Linked DNA regions of Arabidopsis thaliana. The protein of the gene in region 2 interacts with the protein of the main gene of each other region in a pairwise test. Each region holds a gene or a part of one and is shown on either strand. Other genes may lie near its edges. The genes, in order: AT1G76590, FBH4 and AT5G26749.

Region 1 (3,756 bases), on a different chromosome or scaffold from region 2:
GACAATTTAGTTCTTCGAATATTAGCGCTTCAGTTAAAAATCCTAGTTATCATATTTGCTATTTTATTGTGAAGATAGTACACAGTATACGATACAAACAAGTTGAAGAAACATACCTCCTTCAAACGTATATTTACAGCAAAAAAACTATATGAAAACATATTTCAATCCCTTTGAGTACAGTATATACCTAATTTCTATATGTACTATAAAAAGAAAAACCAAACAATACCTGTAAGTAATATGTCTTACAATATGTATATTCCTAGCTCAAAAGGTTAAAAACTACTAACCATTTAGTTACAACATAACAACCACATTTTCTATAATCTACACTATATAATTAGCTTCCGTTAGTATTAATTTTAGAAAGGAGCACGGTGTGGGACGCCCTTCCGTCTACTTGAATTCCGGTGATTATATATCGGCGGTGTCCCCGGAGAAAGTTTAAAACCGCTCTCATCACCGGAGCTCGAAGACGGTTGATCTCCTGACAAGTAATCACATTTAACGGTGGAGATGGAAAGACCACTCATCAGACGGTTGAAAGCACATGTCTTGCGTATCTTAGTTGGTGTAGTCGCTTCATCAGATTCCCACTCACCTTCGTACTCTCTTCCATGCTTCCCTCTCAAAGAGAAGGTTAGACTTGGATCACGCTTCATTCCTCCAAGCTGAAATAAACCAAACAAAAGGGCAATATGGTCATTTCAACTATACAGAGCAAATTCAGATATTCATTCAAAACAGAGGAAAACAGAGGAAAGAAGAGTTACTTTGCAACCGAGAGAGCAGAAACGGAAAGAATCGAGAAGGCTTCTGCAACAGATTTCACAAGTATTGGTGACTCCTTTGCCGATTCTTGGCTGAGGACGTTCGTTCAAGAAAACGATCCTTGCGCTGTTGATTATATATGTCTGAACACAAGATATGTCTATGTACTTCTGAATCTCGTTTACTCTCACAACGTTGTGGTACGATGATCTCCGTATCTGCAAGTAATGAAAATCCCATTTTCTTAACTCTGTTGGGTGAATTGGTAAGAGAGAAAAAAATGATTTGAAGTTGATGAAAGAACCTGGAGGACACGATGGTTTCTGTGATTGAGCAAACAGTAAGAGCAAAAGGCCTCAGAAGAACAGTCAAGACAGAACATGTTGCACTCGCTTTTGTTGGAAGCGGCGTGGATTGAACAAGGGATGAAGTAGTTTGCTCTTAGCATTGGGATTAGCCATGGTGGAGGATTTAGATTGTAGTTATCTTCTTCTGCTCTCATCATCATCGGTCCCTGAAGAATGTTTAGACCAGTTCCAAATGGTTAATATAAGAATTTGCAAAGAAACTAAAACAGAGTTAAGTAAGAAAGAGAATCAATCAATCACCATAGTTATTGTGAGTTTTGATAGCCAGCTTCAACAGTGAAGAAGAGCAGATTTGATTGAAAAGACTATGAGAGGATTTGAGTTTAGTGGGAGGAGGCGGCGGCTATAGCTGAAAAAGAGAAGTTGAGGTTTTTCTTGTTTTTTGAAGTCGGTCACGATAATACTCAATACGTTTTATAATTCACATGAAAATCATTTAATATCATCCCCTTTTTAAACTGTTTTTATATAGTTTTTTCTTTAATTACTTTTTTTGGCTAAAAATAAGTGTTCTCTAATTTTGCTTTAAAGTCTATGAGAGACACACGTATATTTTGTGCACATGTGTGGGTCTCTAGAGACCCCAGAAGTAAAGGAACTTAAAAAAAAAAGGTGGTGTTATTGATAATTTTGAATCATTATTGTTCACAAATGATGATAAATAATTTTATGTCGTGGTTCGCGACAAAATATCGAATTAGCCGACTATATTATTCGGTCCTACATAATTCCCAACGTAGGAAGATATTTTTTCTACCAAATTTGATTGTCTTAATATCTACTACTATTCATTATGTTTGTGATAGATTATGATATTCACATACATACGGATTATTGGAAGTATCATACGGCCATAGAAGAGAACTCTGAGTTTGGAATTTGGATGCTAAATTTTAGCTACAAGAAATAATTTGTTTTTTTCTTAAAATTTTAAAAGGTCAAAATTAGAAACACGTGGCTAGAGGTGAAGAGCCAGAGAGATGGACCGACACGAGAGGAGACAGAACCGAATTGGAGATTCTGGTGTGAACCGTTGGATTAAAAAGACAAAATCTTTTATAATGTAACGTGGCTCACGCTTTTGGCCCTTTTGGTAGTTCAACCCACATGACCAATCTTAGACCGTCGGATGAAGAAGTTGAGTGGACCGTACATAAGCCACCTCTTGAAATCGTAGGGTTCGAAAGCGTCTGTTACGTGCCAAAGAGTTCTTATCATCTAGTGAGTACTTTTCGCTGAAAGTGCTTTAAACTAGTTTCAAGATTGTGTGTGTGTGATCTAAACTGTTAGATTTTTACGGTCAAAGTGATATCTATATTAGTTGTACGGCTTATGTGTGTGTGAAACTGTTCACATATATGATCTCTTTAGGCTCAAACTGTTAGAAGCTTTCATTTTTTTTATCAGCTGTTGACAAAAGAAACTGTACATACTACTATTATCACCGTTAAATCCATCTTAATATTCATACTTGATAGCTTATATTGGGGGCTGGTAACGAATTAATGAAGCTAGAAAGATAGTTTCAATAGATATGATCAAAAAGTTTGCAATTAATTTGAGATTGCGGATGATATGTCGAAACTACGAGTAAGTTTTCTAGTCCCTACCCAAAAATTATGCAATAGAAGTATCTGTCTTCGACGTATTTTTCAGTCCGCTATCTTCTACATATAATAGAGTTTGAAAGTTAAGTCTTCCGGCAAAATCCAATAACAAGTATTTTTAAGTATCTTATCTTAAATGACAAGTAGTAAATAATCAACATAGATATATAATGTATTACTCGAGAAAGAGACCTGATATCATATTATATGGGATAAGAAACCTAAAGAGATAATAATAAAAAGAGAAGTGTGATCCACGTAATCAGATAGTAGCTATCTATAGAAAATTACACATAACAACTAATTGTTCAAAATGTTGGGAGAAAAGTCGACGAATCATCGTCTTCTTTTCTGCGATCTTATCTCTTTCAACTACACACAAAAGAGATTAGTTTTATTGTTTTGTTTGTATTCATAAAGTGAGTAAATTGAAAAATATCCCAAACAAATGTGGGAAGAAGAAGGTAAAGATGGGGCAATGCACTGTTGACCGACCTCAACAATAGTAGTCAATAGCACGAGACTCACGTGACCGTTGTGGTTTATTTGTGAAGAATCATCTTCACTTTTTAAGATGTCCCTTTAAAATGTTTAGCAAGTAGTGGCTAATACTACTTTTACGTAGGATTAACCAAAAAGGTATTACATTACAATTTTACAACAATGTTCAACTACGTTCACAACTCTACAGAGATACAATAAACACACAGGAGAAAACAGCTTCAGTAAAATAGCAACAGCTTTTGTGTTAAGCAACTAAAAACTGTAATTAAGGGAGAATGGGAAATTAACATATGCAAGAATAAAACATAATTAGCCAAATATATAAAAACTTGGGTGTTGTGTTGAAGCTATGTCTGCTCTGACCTGAACCAGTTTCTCTGTACTCTCTGGCTCACCAAAGACCAGTGAGTGATTCCATCTCTGCAATGTCCAAGATCCACATGTCTTTGGGTTTTCTCACTATGCCTCTCATTCTCAGTTTCCTTCATCGCACTTTTTTTTTC
Region 2 (3,756 bases):
ACAGAAGACTAAATCAATTCAACAGAAGACTAAACAGGCCCCTTTGTTTTTTTTCCACAATGATCAGGAACTTTACCTTATACTGTCTTTGTAAATCTTTGATGTAATCCACAGCTAAATCCAACATATCCGAAGTGTTGGTTTGCTGTTAAAACATAAAGAAAACAACATCATTTAACAATTTGTTTATGATCAAAAGTCATTACAAGGAAGTTCCTGAAAACTGTACCTTGTCCATGTTAGGAACAAGCTCTTGTAACTTCCTCATTCGCTCGCTTATCCGCGTTCTTCTTACCTGACACAATTGACAAGATTTCTTAGGAAAGGCTTTCTGAAAACAAACTAGATTCTGCTTCAAATGGACTTCCATTGATATATGTAAAGATGGCCTTAACTAGGTGAAGTTACCCGTTCAGCGATGCTTCGAGGATGTGTAGCGCAACCACGTTTGGCTCTGATTTTACAAGGAACAGAATCTTGTAGCTGAAGATACTTATCCACTGAAACCATGTCCGAGGCTGTCGATGATGACTTTGGTAGGCTCAAATGATGCGACAGTAACTGCATACGATTCCCGGACTCTCCGTTCTGTAGAAACCCATCAAAAACATCATTAGAAACCACTCCAAGAAATCAACTCCACTTTCAGCTACTGATCAATAACCAAAACAAACCGGTTAGATAACCGAGTTACCTGAGCTCCGAGAAACAATTTTCCATCGTCCTCGGCTTCTCTTTTAAGTGAGGATAAGTTATCAATAAAGCTGGATGGATCATTCCAATGGCTATATGGAAAATTAGTTTCGGGTGCGATTTCAGGTATTTGAGAAAGCATTCCAAGTGAAGAAGGTGGCCTTGAAGAGAGACTGCAATGGCGTCTTAATCCATTGGAATTAGATGGACTCTCTTCATCTTCTTCGTAATTCATCAAATTCCTCATTGAACCATAACCTGCAAATTTGTAAGTATATAGTAAACACTTATTAGATTTGTTGAGTCCAAAGTGCTTTAACTCTATGGTTGACAAAATCAAATCAGATCTTGTCTTAAAATTATTCTCAAGGAACGTAAAACATTCAAAAATCTTGAAGCAAGTGTTAAAACATTCAAAAAAGTTGAATCAAGAAGTACCAAAAACACTTCTGTTATAAATGAAAAAAATATTTCAGACTAAAAAAAGGGGGAAAAACTTTGTAGCAGAGAGCAAAACGGTACCGTTTTGGTCAGAGAGATTAGTAAACATTCCGGCTGGAGAGCTGCTTTGACGGAGAAGATTAGATTCAACTGGTTTGGTGTGATGATTATTGATACCGAGAAACTGATCCAAACCAACCGAGTTCATTATCCCTTTACTCTGCCTCGGGTAATGCGGCGGCAAACCCAGAAAACTCGACGGCTCAAGCTGCGGCGGTGGCGGCAGAGTGGCGGCGTATGAAACAGAGGTGTTCGTTAACGAAACCGGAGACTTATCCTCGAATTTAGGTGAACCCAGATCTCCGTTAACGCCATTAGAGGTCACGAATCTTGAAAGCAACCTATCGGAGTCGAAACCAATCTTGTCGTCGTCAACAAAAGCGGCGAGAACAGAGCTCGGAGCTGATCTAAAACGAAGAAGACCCGACCCGGTGGGATTCGGGTCGTAGAGATGATTATTTGAATCCATTAATCGAATCAATATGTAAAAAAAATGCAACGAAATTTCCTCTGTTTTCTCTTCTTGTAAGCTCTGTCTCGTGACGTTTCAGGAAGAACAAATTTGTAGAAAACCAAATCTTAATAGCTTTCCAACGTCAACCGTTGATATGAATATAAGCTTTTTCTTCTCCCTTGTTAAGTTCTTGTTTGTGTCACTTTTCCCGGGAAAACAAAACTTGAGCTTGAGATGTGAGCAGGTGTAGGATTTGGGAAATATAAAACCTTGAAGGGGAAGTAAAGGAGGTTTCGTCTGAAGATGAAGAAGAGAGAAAGAAGAACGGTGAAGTCTGATGAGAGGAAGAGAGAGATGAAGGTGATGATGAATATTTATCGTCTTTTTGCTTCTGAGTTTCTGCGTCCAACTTTAATTGCTGAAGATAGCGGCGGATCCAAAAGCTTTTTTACCAAAAATTTATTAAAATTGAAAAAGACGTCGTTTTAAGCCGCCTGTGAGGCTGAGTCACGGAAAATGCCTTTTCATATTTTTTTTCAAGAACAATTTTACTACTATTTCTTAAGAATATGAATTTTTCTATATAAAATGTAATTGAGAAAAGAGTAGATTTTAGATGAAAATACATACTTTATACTTGTATACAGGAAGAGCATGTGAAGTAAATTACCTACCTAATCAATTTTGACGAGTATACTGATGGACCCGTGACAAATTATTATTTCTCATCTTATAATCTACATGTATCCATAATATCATTTTATTACGATTCTTGTTTTTTTCTTTGTCTCTGTAAAATATGTGATGTTTCTACCCTAATTTATAACACACGAACAAAAATATCTGTATGTTGGGGACAATGAAATCGCTGGTAGGCCATACGATTACAATTTACAACAAGATGCACCAATCATAAATATTAGTTTCTTTTTTTTTATTGGGTCGGTAGTTTAACAACCAATGTAACAATTTAACACTAGATTCGAAATTTAACGACGTAAGGAAATAATTTTAATACGTTTTAGGGGACATGGATCTAATATGTCATGGTTACGTTACTTCAAATTTGTTTTGTTTAAGTACTCATTATTCAGGAACCAATAATGATGTTAGAGTACTTCATTCATAGTCAGCAATTGTACTGACAAAATCTAATATCCATTCGCATGGTACAACTTAGAATTTAAGAATTAAAGATTGTCCCATCAGAGTATAAAAGTCAGAAGTTAGATGTTAATATAGTTAGACACGAAAACGTACTTGAAATAGAAAGAAAGAAAATTGTCGGAAGTACAGTTTGTTTGTAATAAAAGAGAGATCAAAACTGTTTGAACTTTTTAACCAATATTTACGTACGTACGTAGCTTTCCAAATCCGATTTTAAGGTTCACGGAACCTATACAGTGTACAGCTTACGACACGATCGTGACGGAGGACGTTGACGCCGTTATCACCCATTGGGAACGTAAGTTGGCGACTACTATAATCTGTGTGACATACGGTACACCTGCATGAAAAAGTAAGATTTGAAACTAAACTCTAAAACCTTAGTGGTCGATGGATTATACAGTGACGTGACTCTATGTGAACGATATACACCAGATTACGTCTCCTCTAAATCTCTTTAAATCTTATCTTAGTTTAAACTTTAATAATTCACGAGCGCCGTCTTTTTAAAATCTAAATCCAATAAAGCGACTTGTTCTCTATGGAGTTTTTAGCTATTCAGCCCTTTAATGGAAATTGATTAATTTTTATATTTTCAAAAACCTATTCGTATCGTATCAGTCTGAATTTTTAGCTTTTAGTACAATGTAAGAATTGAAAAAAGAAACCGAACCATTGAGAAGATTGGGGTGGTGAATTTGCTTTGAATGTGAATTTATTCTCTATGGAGTTATTAGCTGTTTCATTCCCTTTTTTATATGGGGACTACGGTTTATGTGCCTGAGGCTCTATATATATTGCATATAGATTGATGACATTGACATAGGCTAAGCTACATAGTCTTAAAACTTCGAGCTGTTTAATAATTAATCAACAAGAAGACAAAATTGTATGTACAAAGCACATGCACATACATAATACTATTACTATTTAAGCATAGG
Region 3 (3,756 bases), on a different chromosome or scaffold from region 2:
TGCGATAAAGAAAGTTTTACAAGATAGGAGGTACAAGAACCGTGAGCTTCAAACCATGAGGCTACTTGACCATCCTAATGTTGTGTCTCTGAAACATTGTTTCTTCTCAACCACTGAAAAAGATGAGCTTTACCTCAATCTTGTTCTTGAGTACGTTCCAGAAACTGTTCATCGTGTTATCAAACACTACAACAAACTGAATCAGAGAATGCCTCTTATATACGTCAAACTTTACACTTATCAGGTATCAATTATTACATTTCTGTTAGATTTAGAGTTATGTTTTGGATCTCTTATCGGATTTCTCTATGTTTGGCAGATTTTTAGAGCCTTATCTTACATTCACCGATGCATTGGTGTGTGTCATCGTGACATAAAACCTCAAAACTTGTTGGTATGTACAAGTTAAATAAACAGGAGCTCACAGTATACCCGGGAATATACTTTTCTTCATTGTCTAATGCTACTTTTTTCACCTGTAATGGAACAGGTAAATCCGCACACTCATCAAGTAAAGCTATGTGATTTTGGAAGTGCAAAAGTATTGGTGAGTTTGATAAACCTCTTCCGGGTACTTTGTTTCTTGGAAAAAGTTAGATTCAATCTTGTTGATCATTGTAATATCTGAAAACAGGTAAAAGGAGAACCAAACATTTCCTACATCTGCTCGAGGTATTACAGAGCACCTGAACTTATTTTTGGAGCAACCGAGTATACGACAGCCATTGATGTCTGGTCTGCAGGATGTGTTCTAGCTGAACTATTGCTTGGACAGGTAATGCATTAAATCTTATTCAAACATTTTTGTTCTACTTAACCTGGAATTTTGTGATTGACAAACTCTATTCTCTGCTCATGACAGCCCTTGTTCCCTGGTGAGAGCGGTGTTGATCAACTTGTAGAGATTATCAAGGTATAAGCTTTGCACTTGTTCACTTTGATAACAAGTTCTTGTTTTCAATAATACTGAGAGAAGATTTGATGTAATGTTTTTTGTTATGCTTTGGGGTAGGTCTTGGGAACGCCTACTAGAGAAGAAATCAAGTGCATGAACCCAAACTACACGGAATTCAAATTCCCTCAGATTAAAGCTCATCCATGGCACAAGGTAGAAATAAACTTATATTCATCAAATCAACTTGTCAATGTGTTATTCAGTAGCAGTTACAGTCAATGTGACAATATCTACTCGTCATAATATATTCACAGATTTTCCACAAACGCATGCCTCCAGAAGCTGTTGATTTGGTCTCAAGACTTCTTCAATACTCTCCTAATCTACGAAGTGCCGCTGTGAGTATTACTTACAAATTCAACATTCTTCTGTGAATCTTCTCGATGGTCCTTTCATTTCCTATTTTTCTTTTGTCTGACTTGCTTTTACTTGAATCGTAAACCTGATCACAGCTCGACACATTAGTCCACCCATTCTTTGATGAGTTAAGAGACCCAAACGCACGTCTACCTAATGGACGTTTCCTTCCACCGCTTTTCAACTTCAAGCCTCACGGTACAACATCTCCCTTTCCTAATGGTGTTTATCTCCAACTTACCTGTAAAATCATCAAAGTTTTACCTTACTAAAGCTATACCTGTAATTGTTGTGAAACAGAGCTGAAAGGTGTACCATTGGAGATGGTAGCTAAGTTAGTACCTGAGCATGCAAGGAAGCAGTGTCCTTGGCTCGGTTTGTGATTTCCTCTTAATGTAGCATGAACACAACAAACACTTCTTATAAATTACCTCTCTATGTATCAATATGTCACAAACTGATATGCACCCTTTGTTTGTTGTATGAGTAGAGAAAAAAAGAGTTATTACTATGGTTGGTTGGTTCATAATGTAAAAGCCCACCAAGATTTTTTATCTAGATAAAGAGTTTGCTACTTCTGCTTTTGTATCTTCTTCTTCCTCTGCAACATCATCAAACAAAGACCCTAAAAGTCACTGTAGCAAATACAAGTATCCTCACGCGCCTAAAACTAATAAAAGCCAAAACTTTTTGATTCTACGAGTCGTCGTCGTCATCGCCGGAAGATGCCGTCGGGGAAATATTACTGTGATTATTGCGAGAAAGAGTTTCAAGACACTCAAGTCGCTAGAAAACGCCATCTTCAAAGCAAACCTCATCTTCGAGCTAAAGCCCTTTGGTACAGTTCTTCTTCCTCAGGTATCTCTCTTCTCTCTTTTTTCTCTCTGTTTCTTAAAGGAACGATTTTTAACATCTCTGTTTCTTTTAATACGAAATTCTTAGATCTTGTTAATCCACAAGTCTCCAATTTTGCGACGAAAGGTCTCTGCAATCGATTCATTACCTCGGTACGTCGGATTGATTTTGTTTCGCTATGTTCATCATTCCTAGCAATCTCTGGATGTGTAAAGTCTTGTCCTTTTCGTTTATATTCTGGTGGAATCACACATTTTACATTGCTTTGTTTGATTCTGCAAAAAAATTCATTGCATATGTGTGTATGTATGTAATCTTCCAAGTAAAGTCTGTTCCTTTCTTAATGGGTTTTGCAGAATTTTTGCCCATTTGGAGATTCTTGCAGATACTTCCATCCTAACAACAATACAGGAAGCACAGGTTAGGTCAAAACCTGTTGATTTTTGACTTCAGTGATTTGGTCTCTTTTAGGCTACTTAAAGCTTTAAAGAAGTCTCTACTATGCGCAAGATTTGCTTAAAACATCATCCTCTTGTTGAATTCAAATGCAGGATTCACAAATAATACACAACTTCGTGTTGACATGCTTAACCAACAACACATCCAAGGAAGTACTTTAAACCGTATGCGTTCTTGTTTTTTCGTCATTCAAGTTCTCTAATATTTAAGCATTTATAGAAAATCTGATGTTGGAAGTTTGAATTGTCTAAAACAGGTGATTTTGTTAGTGGGAGACCAGGAACAGGTTGGTTTGATCTTCCGCCATCGCTAAAACCGCCTCCTGAGCAAGGCTATCCTCAGCTTCCCTTCATAGACTGGGGATAGATATAAATTCTCTGAATAATGCTCAGTTTCAACATTGATGATTCTACTTGAAAGGAAAAGACTAATCTTTGTCTCGTTGTGCTCTGCCATTACCAAGCTTTTAGCCACAAGCTTGTCTCTTTTCAGACTCGAGGTTGGAAGAATGTCAACCAAATTGTCGTCTTGTTACTCAATTTGTCGTCAACTTTAGAGACATTGTTCGGAGTTTGGACATGGCAAATTTGCAATTTAACATACTGTGCGATATTCTGATAAAATTCTTTAAATTTCGTTGGCTCGTCCCTATTCATTGCGTGATGATAGGATATCGCTAATTCGCTATCCGCTTCCTGGCCATGTGCTAAACAAGACTTCCCAAGCCAAACTATCAAAATATTTGACAAAGTTGGAGCAATTCCTAAGGCTGTAGATTAATTACAAAGTTGGAACAATTTTTTCCCTAGAAAATACATTATTGAGAAACAGAGTATAAGTTGGCTAAAAGAAAAATCAGATTGTTCAGAATCAAATATTTAAATTATTAACTTCATTTTCATTTCTTCAACTCCATAAAATAGAACTAATTTTAAACTCTTTATTGTTGAGAGAAATATCTTCGAATCTCCTAAGAGTAATTTAGTCGAGCATGTTGGTTTGAGTTTATAAAAGATAGGTTATGATTTATTAGTTAATATTTCAAATTTATATATTGGTTTTTAGGTTTATAATGGAGGGTTTTAGTTTATTTTTTATTTTAATTATGAACAAAGTAAATAGTTTGAGTT

Evidence for each region.
Region 1: the proteins of FBH4 (region 2) and AT1G76590 interact in a two-hybrid assay, tested with the Arabidopsis thaliana proteins (one large-scale study listed by BioGRID).
Region 3: the proteins of FBH4 (region 2) and AT5G26749 interact in a two-hybrid assay, tested with the Arabidopsis thaliana proteins (one large-scale study listed by BioGRID).

What each region holds. Positions count from the first base shown.
Region 1 is NC_003070.9:28,738,504-28,742,259, reverse strand, and holds AT1G76590 (PLATZ transcription factor family protein), read right to left. Parts: upstream 1,721-3,756; 5' UTR 1,386-1,720; coding exon 1,383-1,385; intron 1,289-1,382; coding exon 1,079-1,288; intron 993-1,078; coding exon 777-992; intron 675-776; coding exon 366-674; 3' UTR 29-365; downstream 1-28.
Region 2 is NC_003071.7:17,611,501-17,615,256, forward strand, and holds FBH4 (basic helix-loop-helix (bHLH) DNA-binding superfamily protein), read right to left. Parts: upstream 2,092-3,756; 5' UTR 1,664-2,091; coding exon 1,216-1,663; intron 952-1,215; coding exon 695-951; intron 589-694; coding exon 409-588; coding exon of another isoform or gene 391-408; exon of another isoform or gene 296-390; coding exon 230-295; intron 146-229; coding exon 14-145; downstream 1-13.
Region 3 is NC_003076.8:9,397,521-9,401,276, reverse strand, and holds AT5G26749 (C2H2 and C2HC zinc fingers superfamily protein), read left to right. Parts: upstream 1-2,009; 5' UTR 2,010-2,037; coding exon 2,038-2,170; intron 2,171-2,254; coding exon 2,255-2,376; intron 2,377-2,523; coding exon 2,524-2,587; intron 2,588-2,718; coding exon 2,719-2,790; intron 2,791-2,882; coding exon 2,883-2,992; 3' UTR 2,993-3,262; downstream 3,263-3,756. Other genes in the region: SK 11 (shaggy-related kinase 11), read left to right, coding at 1-244, 320-394, 491-547, 635-775, 863-913, 1,013-1,108, 1,210-1,293, 1,408-1,510 and 1 more.